Alligator mississippiensis: one gene and its partner. The main gene of each other region encodes a partner of the protein of the gene in region 2 in a complex. Links are inferred from orthologs where the notes say so. Each region holds a gene or a part of one and is shown on either strand. Other genes may lie near its edges.

The links. The genes of interacting proteins can lie anywhere in the genome.
Region 1: NDUFAF1 (region 2) and TMEM186 share a complex: the UniProt entries of both Homo sapiens proteins name them as parts of the mitochondrial complex. The link is inferred for Alligator mississippiensis from reciprocal best matches to the Homo sapiens genes NDUFAF1 and TMEM186.

What each region holds. Positions count from the first base shown.
Region 1 is NC_081836.1:35,935,928-35,945,009, forward strand, and holds TMEM186 (transmembrane protein 186), read right to left. Parts: upstream 2,635-9,082; 5' UTR 2,586-2,634; coding exon 2,580-2,585; intron 2,504-2,579; coding exon 1,916-2,503; 3' UTR 1,635-1,915; downstream 1-1,634. Other genes in the region: PMM2 (phosphomannomutase 2), read left to right, coding at 2,664-2,726, 4,163-4,274, 5,722-5,798, 6,802-6,893, 8,169-8,268. UniProt on the Homo sapiens protein: As part of the MCIA complex, required for efficient assembly of the mitochondrial complex I.
Region 2 is NC_081825.1:239,880,405-239,891,286, forward strand, and holds the start of NDUFAF1 (complex I intermediate-associated protein 30, mitochondrial), read left to right. Parts: upstream 1-5,973; 5' UTR 5,974-6,058; intron 6,059-6,218; exon of another isoform or gene 6,219-6,425; intron 6,426-7,879; 5' UTR 7,880-8,003; coding exon 8,004-8,513; intron 8,514-10,516; coding exon 10,517-10,702; intron 10,703-10,882. Other genes in the region: RNA polymerase-associated protein RTF1 homolog, read right to left, coding at 2,332-2,409. UniProt on the Homo sapiens protein: As part of the MCIA complex, involved in the assembly of the mitochondrial complex I.

The DNA of each region.
Region 1 (9,082 bases), on a different chromosome or scaffold from region 2:
TCATCTTTGTTATGTTCAGTCTCCTTTCTTGAGTTTTTTTTTAGGAGTCATGTCTCCACTCCTTACAATACTTGTACACATCTTACAGGCTTTCCCCTTCCACTTCACTCATGGATTATTATGATTCTTCTTCTCCCCTCGCTTGTCCCGTCTAAACAAGGTTGCTGTTGTGGAGCCTGGCTTTCCACTGGCTTCGGTCATATGCATCATTTCCAACTTCTTTTCTCGTGTCCTCTCCACTCTCTCTCTCCATATCATCTTCAGTCTTCCTCTTCTCCCTTGTAGTCCCATTCTGGTAACTTCTTTTCCCCCTCTTATTCTTCCGAATTCCCTTTGAAAATGTCCATACCATGCCAGTCTTCTTTCTTGTACTTCCTTAGATGCCTCCACTACCTTCACTGATCTTCTGGTGCAGGTATTCCTTACTTTATCCATCTTTGTCACTCCACACATCCATCGGAGCACTAATCTTTGTAACGTTCAGTCTCCTTTCTTGAGTTTTCTTTGGGAGTCATGTGTCTGCTCCTTACAATACTGCTGGATGTACACATCTTGTAGGCTTTCCCCTTCAGCTTCACAGATATTCTCCTGTCACATAATGTTCCTGTCATCCATTTCCAATTCATCCATCCTGCTGTTATTCGATGGTTGAACTCTTTCTCTAACTCCCCCTTTTTCTGAACAACTGACTCCAGATACTTGAACATGTCAACTTTTCAAACATGTTTCTCATGGATTATCACATTTCCAACCTCAGGTACCTCAGAGAAATAACAGTGCATTCAACTCCACCTATGATTTAAGATAATTATTTCTTGGAATTTTAATTTGCTGTGTACAAGCACTTGATAGACTAATCTATCTTGGCTTTCCTGCTGTCCTATCGCTTTAAGATAACTGATTTTGAGTTAGCAAATACACACCTCTCTAGAGCAGAGCCCTGAGCCTTCTGGATATTGTAGTGCTTTCTCCCCTCTAGGTCCCTGGTTGGTGTGTAATGTATAGAGTCCGCCTTATATTGAGGGCTAGGCTCGTTTCATAATGACAAACCATGTGCCTGGTTCTAGCTCAGGGCTGCAGATATTTTGGGGAAGGTTAGGATGACTACTGTGCTATACAGCCAGTAGTCACAGTGGCAGGGAAAACTGGAGTATAAAGGAACAACCCAATTGTATACATTTCTACTCAGTTTGCCCAAATCCTCTTACCCATATGTTGTTCCTACTTCCTGATATCTGGATGTTGTCACACTTTGCCCCACAAAATCTTTCAAAACACTCTGGAACAAATTGCCGTTTTCATTACCTAAAGCAACTTTCTCTCACACAGTTTGCTTGTATTTACACCTGTGGAGTCCTATATGAGTGGACTAAATCCAGCCATCATGTTTTTCTGTGAATGCAAAAATTGCATTACTCAATTAACAGCGCAAGAGAGACTACAAGTTGCCACCTCCTCACAAGTCATATTAATTTGTATTATGCTACACGCTGCAGTTTAATCAGGGGAAGGGCTTGTGCACCAGGCTCCAAGGGTCCAGCAACTGTTGGCACTGAGCTCTGAGAACCAAAAAAGAAACCCTGCCACTAGCTGCGTCCCTGCAACTGAGCACTGAAGTAAAACAGCAGCCTGCGTGAGCCTCCAGCTGAGATCACTTTACTGCCAAACTCCTTTTTTTGTGTTACATAAAGGCTTCGGGTGGGAAGGGGAAAGATTTTACTTCCCTCCACAGGGCTGTTGAATTTCTGCCTCCCCCTCTACACAAACACAGATTGAAGCACGTTTGGCAGGAGGGGTATTTAATACAAGAAGGAGGTGCAACTATTTCAACAAGTTGATGTAACCGGACACCTGCGACAGACCAAAAAGAAGTACAATGCAGGTGGGACAGCTGGAAAACCGGGTGCCCTTGCGGTCACTGGAATTGCCCAAATATCTCTTTGAACTTCTGCTTGTCCACAACTTGCCCAAACCTGAGCGTGAAGTACAGCACCTGTGGGCTGTCGTAGCGCTTGAACTGGAGCAGCAGCTCACCGCGCCTGTCCCCCGTGTCCCCCAGCGCCATGACGGAGGTGGTGGGGCAGTCGATGTCGTGCCTCCAGCCCCAGAAGGTGAGGTGCGCCACCCGCACCACGCCGCCCGTCTCGCTGAGGTAAATGAGGCCGATGAGGCGCCGCAGGTAGTAGCTGAGGCCGTAGAGCACGACGAAGGCCAGGGCGGCCATGCCCCCCGCCGCCTGCAGCTGCAGCAGCGAGGCCTGGCCCTGCGCGTACAGGAGGCCGAGCGGCGGCAGGGCCAGCACGGTCAGGCCGGTCTGCAGCAGCTTCAGGCGGGACAGCGCGCGGCAGTAGCGGATCCCCGGGAACCTGTAGACCAGCGTGAAGCGCTCCGCGGGCGGCGCGGGCGGCGGGCTGCCGGGGGCGGCGCTGCTACACACGCAGCGCAGCCGCCACGAGCCCGCCCGCCCTCCGGCCACGGCCACGGCGCAGCGCAGGGCGACGGCCTGGGGAGGGAGAGACAGACAGACGAGATGAGCCCCTCAGTGCCGCGCCGCCCTACCCACCCGGCCCCGCACTCACCGCCATGCCGCCGCCGGGAGCCGGGAGCGGAAGAGGCGGGGCCGGAAGCGGCCGCCGGCCACGACAGCTCCTTCACCGCAAGCCATGGCGGCGCCGGGCAACCTCTGCCTCTTCGACGTGGACGGCACCCTCACGGCGCCCCGGCAGGTGAGTGCGGGGCGGCTTCTTCCCAGCCCTTCGCGGCGGGGCGGGCCGGGCCCCCGCAGGCGACGCTTCTCCTCCCCGAGCTCTTCCTCTCCCCTCCCGGCCTGGCTGCCCTCGCCCCGAGCGCGAGCGCTCTGGCCTCGCCGGGTGTCCGGCCGGTTTCCCGGGTGCCTGTCGCTGGCGCTGCAGGGCGGGCTGTGCCGGGCGCCGTGCCCGCCTACACGAGCGTCGGGCTGCTTGGGGCTCGGCCGCCGGCGTGCGCGGGGCAGCGCTGCCCTCAGCGGCGAGCGGGCCCGCTCCGGCGGGGGAGCCAGGCCCCGGGGCAGCTCCATAACGTGCTCTGCAGTCGCTCTAAAAAGAAACCGCCGCTGCTCCGTCGCGCTGAGGGACGCCAAAGCAAAACTCCCTCGGGTGTCGCTCCTCCTGCTAAGGCTGGTGGCTCCTTTGGAGAAATAGTGAAGGGGCGGCGGGCAGGCGGGCGACGCCACCTGTGCATTTGGTAACTAGATAAAGCTGGTGCCGTCTGGATGCGCTTCCTTCTTGGCTGGCGTTCAGGTGAGCCGAGGAAGCCAGATCAAGACAGCAAACGGAAATCATCCTGTGCGGGTCCGTGACAGTAAACTGTCCTTTTTGGGCACGCTTCAGTCTTACAGCTCAAGGGTGCTTCTGAATTCCCAGTTACTGCTGGAGTTTCAGAGAGCCGTTATCTCCACAGGTGCTGTTTTCTTCCAGTACTGGAAGTGAGTTACAGTGTGGAAACACAGCAAATAAATAAACCTGGATGAATAATTAGGCCTGGATCTTTTTCTGTAATAAACTACTCCATGGTAAGGGAGCAGGCACAAGAACACCCTTCCAAGCTAGGTGCCCACAGGCACGTTATGGATCCTGGCTGCTAGGTGGTGCCCCATTCTGGTTTGAATGAAGCAAATGGCTGTCTATGGCAGAGGAAATGAGTTAGGGAAGTGGATATGACCACTGTGCCTCATACAAGGCTCAACTTAAGCCAGTGTGAGTTTGTGTGTCCTGGATCCTTTGCTACCGAGTAAAGTCAGTTTTCTCCATAGTAAAAATTGTGTGTTTATCCTCATACAGATCTTGCTATGCCTCTCTCTGCCTCTGTGACTTCCAGATGTGAACTCAGGGCGTATGGGGGCTACCCCTGAAGGTATTTCAGAAGGTCAAGAGGTTTAAATTTTTAGGCCTTCATAAGAGGGAGCATGCTATGTTAAGTAAGCTACATATTGCACCAGCTTTCTTGTTGATTTTTCACTCAAAGCATTTTTTTGGCATTTTTCTCCCTAAAGCCCTACATATTTTGCTTCACAGCAACCTTTCTCCTCCTGCACCACAATAGCTATGTTCAGATATACAATTATGCTAAAGCTGCGTAGGCTACCCACTAATCATAAACTTTTGTTTCTTTTTTTGAAATCTAGAAAGTCACAGCAGAAATGGGAGAATTTCTGCAGAAGTTGCGGCAGAAGGTGAGAGTTGGAGTAGTAGGTGGTTCAGACTTTGAAAAAATTAAAGAGCAGCTGGGAGACGATGGTAAGGAAGAGATGAGATGGTCCAGGTTGATAAATTTGTTGCGTATGAGGAAGTTCTGACACCTTAAATTAAACCTTTTTTCTTCCTCCTTCCTTGTAGTACGCAAATCTCATGAAGTGTTCACTATTCACAGTCAGTGTGTGATGATTGCTTGATTTAAAACTGTATTGCCCGCAGTGGGTTAAATTAAAAGTCTCCCAAGTACTTGTACTTTACACAGGAAGATTCAGTCTTATACCCTTTGGTTGCTACATGCAGTGAAGTTCTGACTTCACACTAGTAATGTAGAACAGTAGCATAACTAGCTTGCCCTGCGTGCCAAGTTAGGGTGCCAGAATCTCCTCGCATCCCTGCAGAGCCCATGGCCTGGCAGCACTGCCACACTGGGAACTCAGAGGCAGTTCCTGACTGCTGTTGCTGTAAGGGCAAGAGAGCCAGGGGAGGAAGAGCATGTGTAGAACAGCAACCCAGCTGGGACTGTTCAGACATTTCCAGTGTTGGTGAGGCTGCTGCTCCCTTGCCTCCCTGCTCTTGGACCTGCGCACCTCCTGCCCTGGCTCTTGGGACCTATGCCCCTTGCCCCCACTTGCTAATCTGTGTGCTCCCCACCCCCAGAACTCCATGCTTACCTTGCCTGTCTCCCTGCCCCTCTCCCCAATTCCTGCAGGGTTTGCCTTGTATGACAACTTGGCTTGTTATGCCGTTGTGTTAGAATACTAATTTTTAGTTTCTCTCTAATGCAGTTTTGCATATTGCCTTTGATATAGGTTGCTAAACTATGTGTTTATCCATGGAAAAGATGATTTTACTAGCCAAGTGGTCACATAAGGTAGCTTGTTCCAAGCCCTTGGTAGGAAACTTTCATTTTTAATGTGAAAGAACTGTATGAATAGCCATAGGCCCAGTGTAAGCAGCAACTGTTTTTTATAACCCTGCATTTACTTGGCTTAGAAGTGGCTTCTATTTAAACCTACATTATAGCAAGTTCTTATATTATCTACAGTAGTTGATTACTTCTTTACTCTCATTCTGAATGGTTGTAATCAAGGATTTTGAATTTGTAATCTGAGATTTTGAAAATGTGGGTGCAAATGATGTAGCACATCACTGCATGTAACGTTTCACATTTTTCTTCATTTAAACTACAAGATTTACTAATATGCTAGAGGCCTAGCACTATGGTATTCAGTTTAAGATCAAACCAAAAGCAAATATAACTTTATTGAAATAACTTTATTGATGAATGTGTCAATTTGCTAGATTATATGTAAAGTTTAAAAAATACAATAGTAGAAATTAATCTTTTGTTCTATAGATCTTATTTTAGCATCACTTATGCTTAATGTTGTAAAAATACCCTGGTGTATGATATGTAAAAGTATTTACAACAAAAACGTGGAAGTTTGAGTGAAGACAAATAAATTACAACAGTTTTTGTTTGTTTCAGTGGTTGAAAAGTTTGACTACGTCTTCCCAGAAAATGGTCTTGTAGCATACAAAGATGGGAAACTGTTGTCCAAGCAGGTATGTTTGAAGTTCCTATAAACTGTCAGACAATGTAGTCTTTAGATACATTTTCAAATAGTATTCTACTCTTAAGATTTTGCATTTTTTTTTATATCTTGTTTTGCAGTTGCAATTTTCATTTATCATCTTTTTGCTAGTCTGAAATTCTTCTTTTACGTGTATAATTGACCATCCATCTCAATCTTTTAAATGTGTAGATTTGATACAAGGCAGAGGGTCAGATTCTCACATTATGATTTCTTTGTGCTACTCTGGAAGTATAAAGCAATCGGGTATGTGGCATGTCTGGTCAATGAGTTCCCATGATAGAAAAATCCCTGAGTGGCATCTTGCCTACCCTAGAGCATAGAGAACATGACAAGAACCCTTTAAGAATCCCCAATGTGTGGAATTTCCACAATAGTACGGCCGTGTGGAATAACCTTGAAGCTGTTCTGCAATATGCCAGAGGAAGCGAAAGAGGTTTTAGGATTGGGAAGTTGTAAATGTGCTTCTGAACTCCCTTTACTTGTTGTTCTTGAAGTGCATGGAGTATATTGCAACTGCACAGAGTGGATTAGTGGATGAGAAAATACAGTTGATTAAATCTGATCTGATCACTTTCATTGCCTCAACCTAGGTAAAGAAGAGAAGAAAAAAAATAGATCATTACCCAAACTGAAACCTAAGGCAGTGGTTTTGAGACTTAAACAATCTTCTCTATTTCCCATATTTAATTTGGCTGTATTGGTGGTTATGCGCCAGTTACCTTTTAAACCTTTGTTCTCTAAACCATGGTATTTATGAAGTGTCTAGAAGAGTGTGTTACAGTGACTTGGGTTGCACAGCAGCAACTGGAGTGAATGGAAGTTTACAGCCAGTGCTATACACCTACTGGTTAAGATCAGCTGCTTAACTGCATGTTTTTTTAGTATCTTGTGTACATTTAAGACCTGTGTTTGTCTATTTTTGGAAACCTGAACTCTGGAGCTATAGCTAACAGGTATTTTTTTTTGTTTAGAGCATTCAGAATCATATGGGTGAGGACATACTCCAAGAACTAATCAACTATTGTCTTAGTTACATTGCGAAGATTAAACTACCAAAGAAAAGGTATGTATTTAGATGCAGTGCATCTTGGGGCCAGCCTGTTCCCTTTCTTACTGTGTTGGGCAGTGATAAGGAAGGCACGCCAGCTCAGTTCTGTGTTTCAGAACATACCATAAAGCTGTGACAGAAGTCTTCTAGTAATCCCCTAAATGGAAAGATAAAACTCCCTTATTTAAGCAGATGAAAATGGATCAAGGAAGAAATTTTTGTCCAAAGATGTTATGTTGTTGGGAATTAATTGCCCTATTAAAAAATCCAGAAAAACAGCATTTCAAAATTCAGAGGCATCGTGGCTTCTATAGACTAGAACAAGGGCGGGCAAGATGCAGCCCACGGGTGGGATCCGGCCCGCAAGGCAATTTCATCCGACCTGCAGGTGCCCACCAATTAATTGTACCTTGGCCAGCCTGCATGCCTTGCAGGTTTTCTGCTGGATTTCTGGTGGTCTACACTGGTGGAATGGGGTGGGACTGAGCATCTTGCGCATGGTCTTTCAGGAGAGGTTAAACTAAGGTCTTGAGTAATTACTAGGGAATCTTTGTAAATTGTGAGGTCAGTACCACTCCCGCACAGCTCCTTCCATTTTTTTTTCATTTCAATGCTCTTTCCCTCACCCGATTGGCTGAGGGGCCCCTCTGGCCAGGCCATTTGCTACTGAATGCCAGGGAAGTGAAAATCATGGTTTTAAATATGCCACGGATTTTGCCTCCCCACCACGGATTGGCAAAGGGCCCCCTGTAGCCCTGCTGCTGACCAGTGGAGAAGCAAAAACCATGGCATATTTAAACCACTGTTTCCACTTCCCCGGTGATCAGTAGCAAATGGTCCAGCCAGCAGGGCCCCTCTGCCAATCAGGTGGGAGGGAGGACAAGCAGTGAAACAAAAAAATTATTACAAGAGCCATTGCGGGTACTTCCTCAGTGATTTACAGAGATCCCTAATAACTATATTTATCAAACTTTTGTAGAATACCTAATCATGCTAATTATGGCATCATGAGCAAATTTCTGCTTGGGCAGTGGTACTCTGCATTGTGGAATGCAAATTTCACTTCCTTAGTTATCTTTATTGTAAAGGTCATATATGTTGAATGGGTGTGCCCACATGTGTCTGCCCTTTTAAAAACCTTAGCATTTCACTGCATCAGTGCCATTTTTGGTATGCTCATAAAGCATAACTCTTAGGATTTAATTTACACAGTCTAGTCATGACTGCTTCTTTCAGGTGTATGTGGATTTATATGTACTGTCAATAGTGACAGTTTACTGTTTTATTCAGGGGTACTTTTATTGAGTTCCGAAATGGGATGCTAAACGTATCCCCTATTGGGAGAAGCTGCAGCCAGGAAGAGCGAATTGAGTTCTATGAACTTGATAAAGTAAGTGAATTTTATAAATACCTGCTTGTCCTTATAAATACCTGCTTCTCCTCCTTGTTCTAACAGGCACAGTCAGGGTCATGTGGTGTTTCCAGTAAAACCCCTTTCTTGCATTTAAAAACACTTTCAAAATCTCATTTACTCTCTTTCTCTGAATCCAGGAAACAGGAAGGTAGAGCACCTGATTCTGCTTTGTCTCTGGTAATCTAACAGATACTCTGTTCACAGTACCCTTGAGGATATTTTTCCAGTGTTTCATTGAGATGTTTGTTTTCCTTCCTTCCCTCCCACCCTGCACCAGCACTTCCTGTAAAACTCAGGTTCTTCTATAGTGTCCATTGCTGTCATAACTTTTAAACTCATTAAAGTAGGTGGCAGTGCTCCATTTCTAGTTAACCTTTGAAACTTGTTTAAACTAAATGTTAATGGCAGAACTGTTCAATATTTGTCTTTAGAATGCAGCTTTGGGGACCATTAAGAGACGGTTTTGTGCTTAAAAGCTTTAGATGGAGGCTCTGTTCTCCACTGTGCCACTTACCTCCTTTTTGACCTATGGCATGGTGCTGAAGCTCTAGTTGTCGGAAGTTACTGGCTGACTAAAGAGATTAAGGGCCTTTAAAATAAACTGCTTTGAGCGCCAAAGTTTGTAGCACCCAAACTTAGGGTCTGCTTTAGAAAATGTGGGTCTTAGCCACTCAGTATTTCAGTTTTGAGTCCCAAAAAATTTGATATTTTCAACGAGGATATACGGTATAATTACTTAGTTTGTATGTACATCACTAGACGTCAAATACATTGAGATCCTTAAGTGTGT
Region 2 (10,882 bases):
AGTTGAGAAACACTGCTCTAACTATTCAGATGTAGATAATCCCCGAGCAGTCTCGCTTTTTGTAGTTATATGCTTTTATGGTAGTTGCTTTGAAGCCTGAGACAGTGACTTATACATCCTAACTGGACTATTCCTTTAACAGAGTCCAAACAGGTCTGTCCATTTTTCTATCTATCTCAAAACTACAGTGAAGCATATAAAGACACTTGTATCACAGGTACCAGACTGGAAGACTAAAATTAAGCAGTTGCTCTCCACCAGTTCAGAATATTAGTGAGCACCCCACAATACTAGGCTTGGGGAAAAAAAACACACCAGATACCAACTATTCAGAAGATCACATCTATTAGCAAGACATATCCAAAAAAAAAAAAAATTAAAATCAAAGGATCTGCTATGAGGGTCTAGATGCAACATCCCTGATGGACAACTCTGCTGTCTGCCCTGCTCTGCAACTAAGATAGGCAGGGTGATGGGATTCCTACCAAAGAACACAGGGCTTCATCTCCTGTAGGTATCTAGAAATAAATCAGCAGCATCAAACTTTCCTTTTTTGTTTCTTCTACTGGTTGCTGCAAGGATGAATTGTCTCTAGTGCCCTACCCTTACTTCTGCCGTCTGTGCCCTGCTATCACATGAACATTTTCACTACCTGCTGCTGCTCACAACTTTTTCAAACATCCACCAGAATCTAAAAGGATTCTGGAGTTTCACTGTTGCTAAAAGGACTGTGAAAAGCATCAGTAAAACATTACAGACTCTTCAAAGTATCACAAAAAATGCTTTTGCTAAGTTTAAGCTATCAGAGACCACCTAATCACATGGGGACTGCTACTGTCTTGGGACAACATCACTAAACATGGTTTTTATTGGTCTTAAACAAGAAGATAATCTTCACAGCCCCAGAGGTTAGAACTTCATTTTTCAAATAAGAGTTTAAATTCTGCAGATGACTTAGACCTCCTCAACTCACCAGGAAAGCTTTCACTGGCAAGTGGATTTATCAGGTCTCTCTGTGCAGGCCCCTAACATCAGAAAGGCATCTCCTTAGCAGGCACAGATCCCTAGTCTTTGTTAGAACTATGTCCCCCCCGCTTGCAACAAATTGGCTAAATGGCACCCTCACCTCACTCCCATGAGTGCTTTCTTATGTAGTACCTTGGACCAGCTATGCTCTCCTTTTAACCGTGTCAATATTCCTTTGTTACCCTACTTATCCTTCCTCATTTTCTTTTTTGAGAAACCTGTATTGTAAGGGTCCCCCCTCCTTGAGTTTCTAAAATGCTACATGCTGCTAAAGGCAGAGGCCAAGCATCCTCCAATGCCCTTTTTGGCCTAGGCTTTCCTAATCAAGTCACAGAAAAGGCAGGGCAGGGTACCACCATTAACACAGCTAATTACATCCCTTCATACCATCTCCAACTTGCTTCGGGAAGCTTAGCCTTTCTGCACTAGAGAGTCTACAAGGTGCTGCTCTGCCCTGACTTTGGGCTACTACAGCTGACTCCCTCTCTAGTTAAGCCATGTATCATAGAAACCAAATTTCCCCTCTCCGCTACCTAAGTCCAGTGGGCGGGAGCTGCTGTGGCTCAGCTGCCCTAGAGCTCTCCATGGGACAGAATGCAACCACTTACTGCTTCACCCGCCACAGAGGAAGCATGGGGTACAAGATCACTCCTCCCCCCCCCGGCCTATGCCAGCCCCTACGCATCCCAGCCTAGGGTTAGCCCGACTCCCTGTGCTCTTGGGCAGCAAGACATGGTTTTTAAGTTTTTAAGGCAGTTCGCCATGGAGAAAGGCCCAACCTGCTACAGGCCCAAGTTTACTCGTGATGCTGAGAGACACGAGACCCGCAGTGCTTCTCACCCCTTGCTAGAAGGTCTACGTGACAGGAGGCAACTCTGGCTCAAGTGACACTGAGGCAGAAGCCGGGAAGCCTCCCTCCCCGCCCCCCCCCCCGCGGCACTGACAGCTTCTCCCCCCAGGCCGGCGCAGGCACAGGCCGCCCCCAGAGGCTTCACAGCCGCCCAAGCCACGCTGGTACGGGGCAGCCCGGCCCGGCGCCACGGGGAACGGGCCAAAGCAAGTCCCTGCCAGGGCGTAAAGCGGCACCCCTCTCTGAGGCGGCCGGGGCCGCGCACGAGGGAGCCGCTTCCCCGCAGCGGGAACGGGAAGGGGGGAGGGGGGCAGCAGGAGCATCCGCCGCCGCCGCAGCCTCCCGGGCCCGAGCCGGGGCAGGGCCCCGCGCTCCGCTCCGCGCCCTAGGCCCAGCGGGCCGGGGCCGCCCAGCAGCCGAGGCCCGCGCCGGGCCTGCCGGCCGCTCGCCCGCACCTGGTCGAGGTTCTCCTCGCTGCCGCTGTCCTCGGTGTCGGAGTCGATGAGGACGCGGCCTTTCCGCTTCTTCACCATGGCGGAGGCGGCAGCGCCGCAAGCCCGGCAGGCGGGCGGACGCTGCGGCCCTGCGAGCGCCGCCGAACCGAGCCGAGCCGCGCCGCACCGCGCCGAGCCGAGCCCGGCCGCCCCAGCGCCCGGACACAAAGGGCACGGAGCATGCGCCCCGCGCCGCCCCGCCCCGGGGAGGGGCCAGGCCGCCGCCGCCGCCGCCGCTGGGCGGGGCCCAGCCGACAGCACGTGGCCCCGCGCTCGCCGCCCGGCCCCGCCGCCGCTCACCATGCGCCGCACGTGCCCGTCCGGCCTGGAACCCGCGCGCCGCCGAGTTCCCCGCAACAGAGCCCCTCTGTTCCCCAACAAAGGCCGCGGGGGGCCGGCCGCAGCCGCTCCCCTGCCTCGCTGCTCTGCGGATCCGCCACCCGCGCTTCGCCCAGCGGCCGCTCGCCTGCTTCTCGGGCCACGGGGAGCTTCCACGTAGAAGACGCTGATGGCGAGAGTCAGGAGGGGTCACTTACTCCGCGCCCCAGTCTCTGGCCAGCAAAAGCTGGGGGGACACTAACCCCTCTGCTCCTTTCAGGCCTCTTCCCACAAGGCCCCTGCTACATGTTACGTATATCACACAATTCCCCGCTAAATCGCACTAGAAGTGTAAACCGGCCACAAGTGCAAAGTAACTGTCCCATGAGGAACTAGTAAACCACGCAATACATCTATTAGACCCGACCTCCCACCCCCCAGCAAAGTCATTATCACACATAAAAATGACTCTCCAGCTATAAAATGCCAAATGCAAATGCAAAATACCAAATAAAGTTAGTGCTTGAAAATATGTGGCAGCTCTATAGCTGGTTTCTTGCCAGTTTTAATTTGAAGGCATGGCAGAGCTCCAAGGTGACAGATGAATGACAGCCCTGGAGGTTGGAGGAGCAGGAATTTCCTCTTGAGGGCCCTGCCACCTGTTTGGATTCCAGCTAAATGGAAACCAGCCATGGAGTTACACAATTTCAAGCACTAACTTTATAGCAGATTGACTCTCTTTATAGCTGGATGGTCAAGTGTGATGATTACTCTGCACAGGTGGCTGCTCTAAATGTATTGCATGGTTGAGCAGTCAGACATGTGATAATTACTTTGCACGTATGGTCAGTTGAAATGCGTTGCTGGATTCACCAATTAACTGAAATATATAAGATGTAGCAGGGGCCAAACAACCTGTTCTTTGCAGAAGAGGATTAATGCTGGAAGTTCTGACAGCTTAAGTGGCATTACTGTAAACCACTGACTATTTCCAACAGAAATCTATGGATTCCCTCCTCTCCCTCCCCTCTAACTCCTGGTTCTGTCCCTGCTCCTGCAATGTGCTCTGCTCAGGGTGACCTCTGCACCCAGGCAGAATATCTTTAAAGCCCAATGCGCTCTGGACAGGCATAAATATCCAGCTCTGCCAATCTCTTAGCAGGTAAGTCTCAGAGAGACTATTGGCAAGAGAAGCTATATGCTGTTCCTAGGTTTGGGTAAGAATTGATGGTTATTTTATTAATAATCATGTATTCAAACAATACAATCTTATATTATTGTTCAGATTACAAATGTTCACCTCAGCCATTACAATTAATAACATTACATTTAAAATTAATGTAATTTATTAATGTAAAGACAGGTTTTGAAAGTCATGAAATACTAAGTAGCAAAGATCCAGGTACATCAAACGGCATTTGCTCTGGACCACTCACCCACCCCCAAGTTTTTTCACTTTCCTATGTGCTCTCCATGTAGTGTACTTCTCTGATAGCCATGATGCTCCTACAATTAGTTAACACCTTCTAGACCTGGGAGGCTGAGCCATAAACCCTACTGTTTCTCCTGTAAATGTCATAAACACTATATAATATGTCAGTGCTATGTATTTCCAAAGAAGCTTGTAGGATGTGGTTTTAAACATGTTAATGTAAGTAAACTATGGTTTAAATACAGATTACATGTAGCTGAACTGTGAACTGGCCAGGTATATGGAGTCTTATCTAAGTGAAAATAAACCACTAAATTGCTAATCACGGTACGTCTAAAATGTTGGCAGCTATAGGACAAGACTTGCCTGAGTTTTCAGGTTGCAAACATCAGTAGACTCAGTCAAGATCCATACCCGTTGGGCATTCACAGAGAAACAATATGCATCATAGTGGTGGATGGGAGAACCTATTTTTAAAAAGTTACCCAAACTAATGATGATTTTTCAAGATAGGATAATATCTTTTTGTTTGTTTTTCTTTTTTTTTCTTACTATTTTGAATTATCAGGATGTTAAGGATTTCCTGAACTCCGCAGGCTATTGGAATATGTGGGGAGATGGGAGGAAAGTAATTCTGAAAATCTTTGTACATTTATACTGGGTGATGAAAATTGGGAATAGAGGCCAAGAAAGGAGTCATTGTCATCAAACAGTTTGTGATGTGTATGTTATGAAAATACGGCATTTATTTATTAGAGGTATATGTTGCCCTTCCCAACAGACCCTCAAGGTGACTTACAGTAAATGAGCAAAATAACTTATAAAACAAGAGAACAAGCAAGAGCACAAAACAACTTATGAAATCTATATTGAAGCAACATATAAAGCAACGCCCCCCCAAACAATATCCCAGCTTAACTTTGCTTGCTAAACGCCTGCCCAAATAGAAAGGTTTTACAGCACTTCCACATGTATGCATGCCATGCAACTTGTTTAAAGGGTCAGGCTTTTTTGTATTTAAGTAATATGGGCTGCTGGAAGTTTCTTCAAGGGCTACTGGGTTTTCGGTTTTTTGTTTTTTTTTTTGGTTTTTTTTTTTACTTTGCAGTAGTTCGGGGGAAGTGCACTTGGCTGATGCTGGAATCGCTCCCAGGAAGCAAAACAATATTTTTTTTAAAGAAAATAGGACTGGAGAGGACCACTTAGGTCACCAGGTCTGGTCTCCTGCCATGACAGGTGTCGCATCAGATGCACTTTTTATACTCCGATCAAATTCTGTCTCAGTATTTCACATTTTTTACCCACACAGCTCTGACTGAAAGGCTGGTGTAGAACTTCACAGCCCTGAACACCAATACCAACCCCCCTACACACACACACACAACAGCCACCACCGAAAACCCCCCTAAGCCCTCCTCCCCAAAACCCTTTGATCTCAATTTAAAAAAATGCACCGACCAGTAAAATAATGTTTTATACTCACAGAGCCTTTCAGCTGGAGCCCTCGGGGCAAGTCTCAGGACAGACAGGCAGGCAGGCAGCACGTAATCCTCACACTCGCACCCAAGTATCACTTTTACAGCAGAGGAGGGAACAGGACGCAAATGCCGGGTGCTTAGGGCCAGGCTGAGTCGTGGTATGACTGGGACTGGAAGGCAGGAGGAATCCCGGAGCCCTGGCCTTGGCTCTACCCACTAGCTGGTGCTGCCTCCCCGAGGGGAGCACGGGCTGTGCTGCAGGGACGAGCCGGCAGCGGCCTGGCGGGCTGAGCTGAGTTTGTGCCTGGCGGCGGGGCCGGCCCGGGAGAGCGCCGTGGCTTTGAGCATCGCGGACCCCAGAACCCCGCGGCTTCCTCCGGCAGGGCGCGGAACCTTTGCTCTCGGCCACGGTTGCGCGGCGGGCTCTGATCGCGGCCGGACTCGCTACGTCCGCCGGCAGGTGAGGACGAGGACGCGGACGAGCGCGCGGGGGGCGGCGAGGGCAGGGTGGTGTCCCTGGGGCGCTCAGAGCCGCTGTGGGGCCGGGGGTGGCGCTGGCGGGCTCCACGGGGCGTCGCAGGGGAAGCAGCTCGGGCTGAGCCGCGCTGCAGCTGCCCCTCCGGAGAGCGCGTCTGGGGTGGTGACGTCATCCCCGCGTCATGTTGCGTCATAATGGTCCGAGCATGGCGCAGTGTGGATGGTGCAGGCGGCCCTGGCAGCGTGTCCGGCCTCAGCCGCGGCCCGCCTGCGTGGCTGGTCCAATAAAAGACCCCCATCCCCAGGCCAGGCAGCACTTCCACGGTTATGCCATGCAGCTTGTTTAAAGGGTCAGACTTTCTTGCATCAATGTCGTATGGGCTGCTGGGAGTATTCTCTAGGGATATTGGGGGAGTTCTTTTTATTTTACTAAATATTAGTGGGGCGGGGAGACGGATGGGACGTATTTGGCTGATGCTAGAATAGCTCATAGAAAGCAAAACAATACATTTTTTAAGAAACCTGGGCTGGAGAGGGCCACTTGGGTCAAGTCTGGTCTTCTGCCATTGCAGGCATCACATGGAGCAATTCGCAGCCCAGTGGAGCAATTCACCTGTGTCGCCTTGTGTCGTGGCGCAGCTCGGTGCGTCCCCTTCACTGGGCGCAACACACCTCCTCCCTTGTCCCACATCTCCTCACTTGCCTCACTGCTCCAGACCCATGTGGGGGTGGGGGGGCTGGCTGAGTGGGGAAGCACTTTTCTCCCTGCCCCAGACCCAAATAGGGCAGGGGGGGCTTGTCTCTGCTGTGCCAACCCATCCCCCTTGTCATAGGCTGGTTGAGCAGGGGAAGCACTGCAAGGTAATAGAGGTCTGCCTCAGTAGTGTAAGTCTGTTGATACTTTTTGTTGCACCACTGATTTTCCTGTTGTGTGGTGCAACAAAGAGTAAGAAACTTTATTTGCTCAGCTTTTGTGCTGCCTTAAAAAAATTAAGGCAGCACAAATGAGGAGTCAGTCAGTGTCGGTTTCTTCCCTTGCCTCCATCCTATGTAATATATCATATTTTATATAAAACACATGAACAATTTATATACTGTACAGCATACATATAGATATTTTAGTACATACATATCTCTTTAGTACAACTTTTTATTTTAGTATATCTTTATATATAAATGCATTGGATAGTATATGTTTGTAACATATTTAAATATCCTTATTGGATATGCATAAAAATATGATACAACCCACTTTATATATATTACATTATAATAGTATGTGTGTATGTGTATGTGTGTGTGTGTGTGTGTGTGTGTGTATATATATATATATATATATATATCAAGATTTCAGTGTGCGTGTATAACAGCTATGTCTTATACATACAGATGTGATACAAAGTGATAGGACTGTTTGCAAAATTATGGCCATGCAGTGTTCCACAAGGGCATTATCAACTTTCAAATTTTCTTTGCAAATTTCTGGTAATGCTGCAAGTGACATCTACTTTTACTGTGATTAAAAGAATGGAGAATGTTTTTTTATTTTCTTTTCAGTTTTACTTCAAGCATTTTGTCTTGTGATTCATGTTGGGAATCTTATGCAGCAATGGCAGGAGAAAAGCTTAAAAAATTGGAAAATGCTATTGTAAAATGACAAAAATCAAGAAGACACAGCAGTCATAGAATCTGATATTGCTTTTAACTGTTTTTTAAATTGGTTAATTTCAAGCCAGTGTCCTTTTACAAGTAAAACCTTTACAAGTATGCTTGTAATCTCTTTCTCTCGTTCCTCTTGTTACAGGTGGAGGAAACAAGCTACCTTAACAACATTTGGTACATCTAGTAATCTTTTTTGAAGACTTTATTTCAGACCTGGTAGTGCCCTTTCTCAAAGTGAAATTTGATCATCCTTCAATTCTACCTTTATGGCTGTAGCTTTTAAACTACTGGCTAGTGCTCGTCCTCTTAGGGAGTGCCAGAGGCACAAAGTCTTGCATTCTTTGCTTGGCCCTCTCGTCACTAATCACATCTCCAAAATGTATAGTAGCTATAGGAGACCAGGAATAAGCCCTGATGACACTCCAGTCTGGAAAAAAATTGATTTCAGTACTGAAAAAGCAGTGAATGGGGTTAAAAAACATTTTAAATTACTAAAGTCTGAGATAGCAGAGCATGTAACAAGTTATGATGGCCAGCCTCTGCATGTTCACTTATGGGAAGAGACTAGAGTGGTCTGGAAATTCCACAGCCAGAAAGATTTAGATAAATGGATAGCTAGCTCCGATACAGAGATTGGAGGGAAAAGTGAAGCCTACCTAAAACTAGGCAAGAATAACCAAAGTGCTCTGTTCTATGGGACCCTCAATACTGAAGTACCTCGTGATGGGGAAACAAAATACAGTGGATATTGTGGATTTAAAGCCAAGCCACGACTGGTGAGTAAAACTTAATTATTTAAGTTAACATTCAGTATTTTATCAGGGACCTCTTATTCTGCTGACAGGATGGGCGATTAGGGGACTTCGGTACAGATATTTTTCTTCTGATTACCTCTTCAAGGTACATTTGTTTCTATTTATTAGAAACTCTCCTGACACAGGAAGGAGAGAAAAACATTTTGAGCTCACTCTGCACTCACAACTGGAGAAAAAAATCGTATTTGCCATGGAAAATTATGAATAACTGAAGTGTTTATTTAGTGCAGGGAGCTGAAGGGTGAACTCTGTTCTAGATGCTTCGTAGACTGTCCATCAAGTATATTGAATCAAGTACAAAATTCAAACTCTTGATTTCTAGTGCTGGTTGCTTGTTAGGTTTCTTAGTCTAAGCTGATAATACAATCTGTATTCAGAATGACTAAAACAAAGACAACCTTTGCTAGGCTTTTTAACAAACTTCTTGAGGCTTACTTTAATCTAGTTAACTCTGCTGTGTTATACCAGTGAGAATAAATTGGCTTTTATTTGTTGTAAGTAAATTGGGACAGTTGAAGAAGTATGAGACGTTCTGCTTCAATCCATTTGCTGATGTAATCATTGCCATACTCTGACTAGGCATAGTTGAAACTTTAGCTCAGGGCTAAATCTTTCTTAAGAAAGGAGCGTTTTTTTCCTTTAATCACCAAAAGTGGATTTCCCATTGCACACATGGTAACTGAGTAAAGGCAAGCTTAGTCTCCTATAGCAAAGTTTTATTGACAGAATTGGTGCATTTTAAATGACTGGTGCAGTGCTGACTACTTTATTTAACCTGTATATGTGCGTACCTACAAGTAGTCACAGTATCTAGGCCCAAACTTAACGTTTGTATCCAAACCCAATTTGAGGTTAGAATACGCTCTCTTTTGTTCCTGAAGTGAAAGAGGAAGAATCTGCTATGGAATATCCTTTTTAAAATTCTGTATGTGGATTCTTGCCTTTCAAAATATGCAAAAGACTAAATCAAGTTATAAATAGAACAGAACAAAAATATGATTTAGTTATAATAGTCTGTTTCCTTCATTTGATGAAAAACTATTGGTATTCATTTTTAGATGTTTCTTAAAAGTGGGGGGGATACCAAGATGAAAAAGCTTGGAGTCATTTTAGATGAGTGCCTTTATGCAATGGAATAAATAACAAGAGTTGTGACCTAATTAATGAGAACAGAAGTAAAAAATTGAGGACTAGGGCTCTGAAGGATAAAGAATGTGAACAGATTTAATCAGAGGCCATACTGATGGCACATAGGAAATTGGATAGATTAAACTAAGTGTACAGGTGAACATTCATTCGAAGGGAGATGGCTAAATCCAGAGAATTGGACCCAGATTACATTTCCAGGACTGCCACAGATTTGTGTAAATCTGGCCAAATTGTTTAATGCCTCTTACTACCTTCCCACCTTTACAAAGCAAGTTGAGGCCAACACAAAGCATAATAAATATGAAGGATAATTTTTAATTTAAAGGAAGGCATGTATCTCAGAATTAGCTACAACATTTTTTGTAGCAGGGGCAGGTTATTTTATACCTGTTCTTGTTGCTTTTCTTTTACCTTCTTCCAAAACTTCTGCTGTTGGCCATTCTTAGACGCAGGATACTGGTTTAAAGAAATACTGTCATGGCAGTATCTGTGTTAATGTGCTGGGAGTGGCGTTTCATTTTCTATAGTGAGATTTGTGATTACAAAATCTGAGTACAAGTCCTTGAAGATGTTACCCCATTTTTGAGATGTCTAACAGCACTGAGAATCATGGAACTAAAACTGTTATAATGAAACAAATAGTAAGTCTGGTTTTCCTTATCTTACATTGCGTCTCCTCTGGGTTACAGAAAACATTATCTAATTAATGAAAAGGGAGGGAGGGGGAGACTATTCAAAGGCTGCCTCAGGTCTTATTGTAGTAATTCTTATTGACATACTAAGATAAAATTACACACTTTATTAATTTCTTGCAGGGGGTTTTTAATAGGAAGAAATACTATGACTGGACAAACTTTAATAGTCTGCATTTACGTGTCCGTGGTGATGGTCGACCCTGGATGATAAACATTTTTACAGACCCATACTTTTCCCATCAAAAGGATGATATGTACCATTACTTCATGTTCACCCGAGGCGGTCCATACTGGGAAGAAATCACGGTAACCTCATGAATATTTCAACTGGTCTAAAGAAAATTAATTCTCTTCAGTACAGTGGTTTTAGATATCTCTGAAATTGTGTACTTAGGGCTCTTTAATTTACTACCACAGAAAAAGTTCCCCAACCAGCCGTTGTTGATTTGCATTGAAAAAACTGTCTTACTTCAAGATTTGTCATGG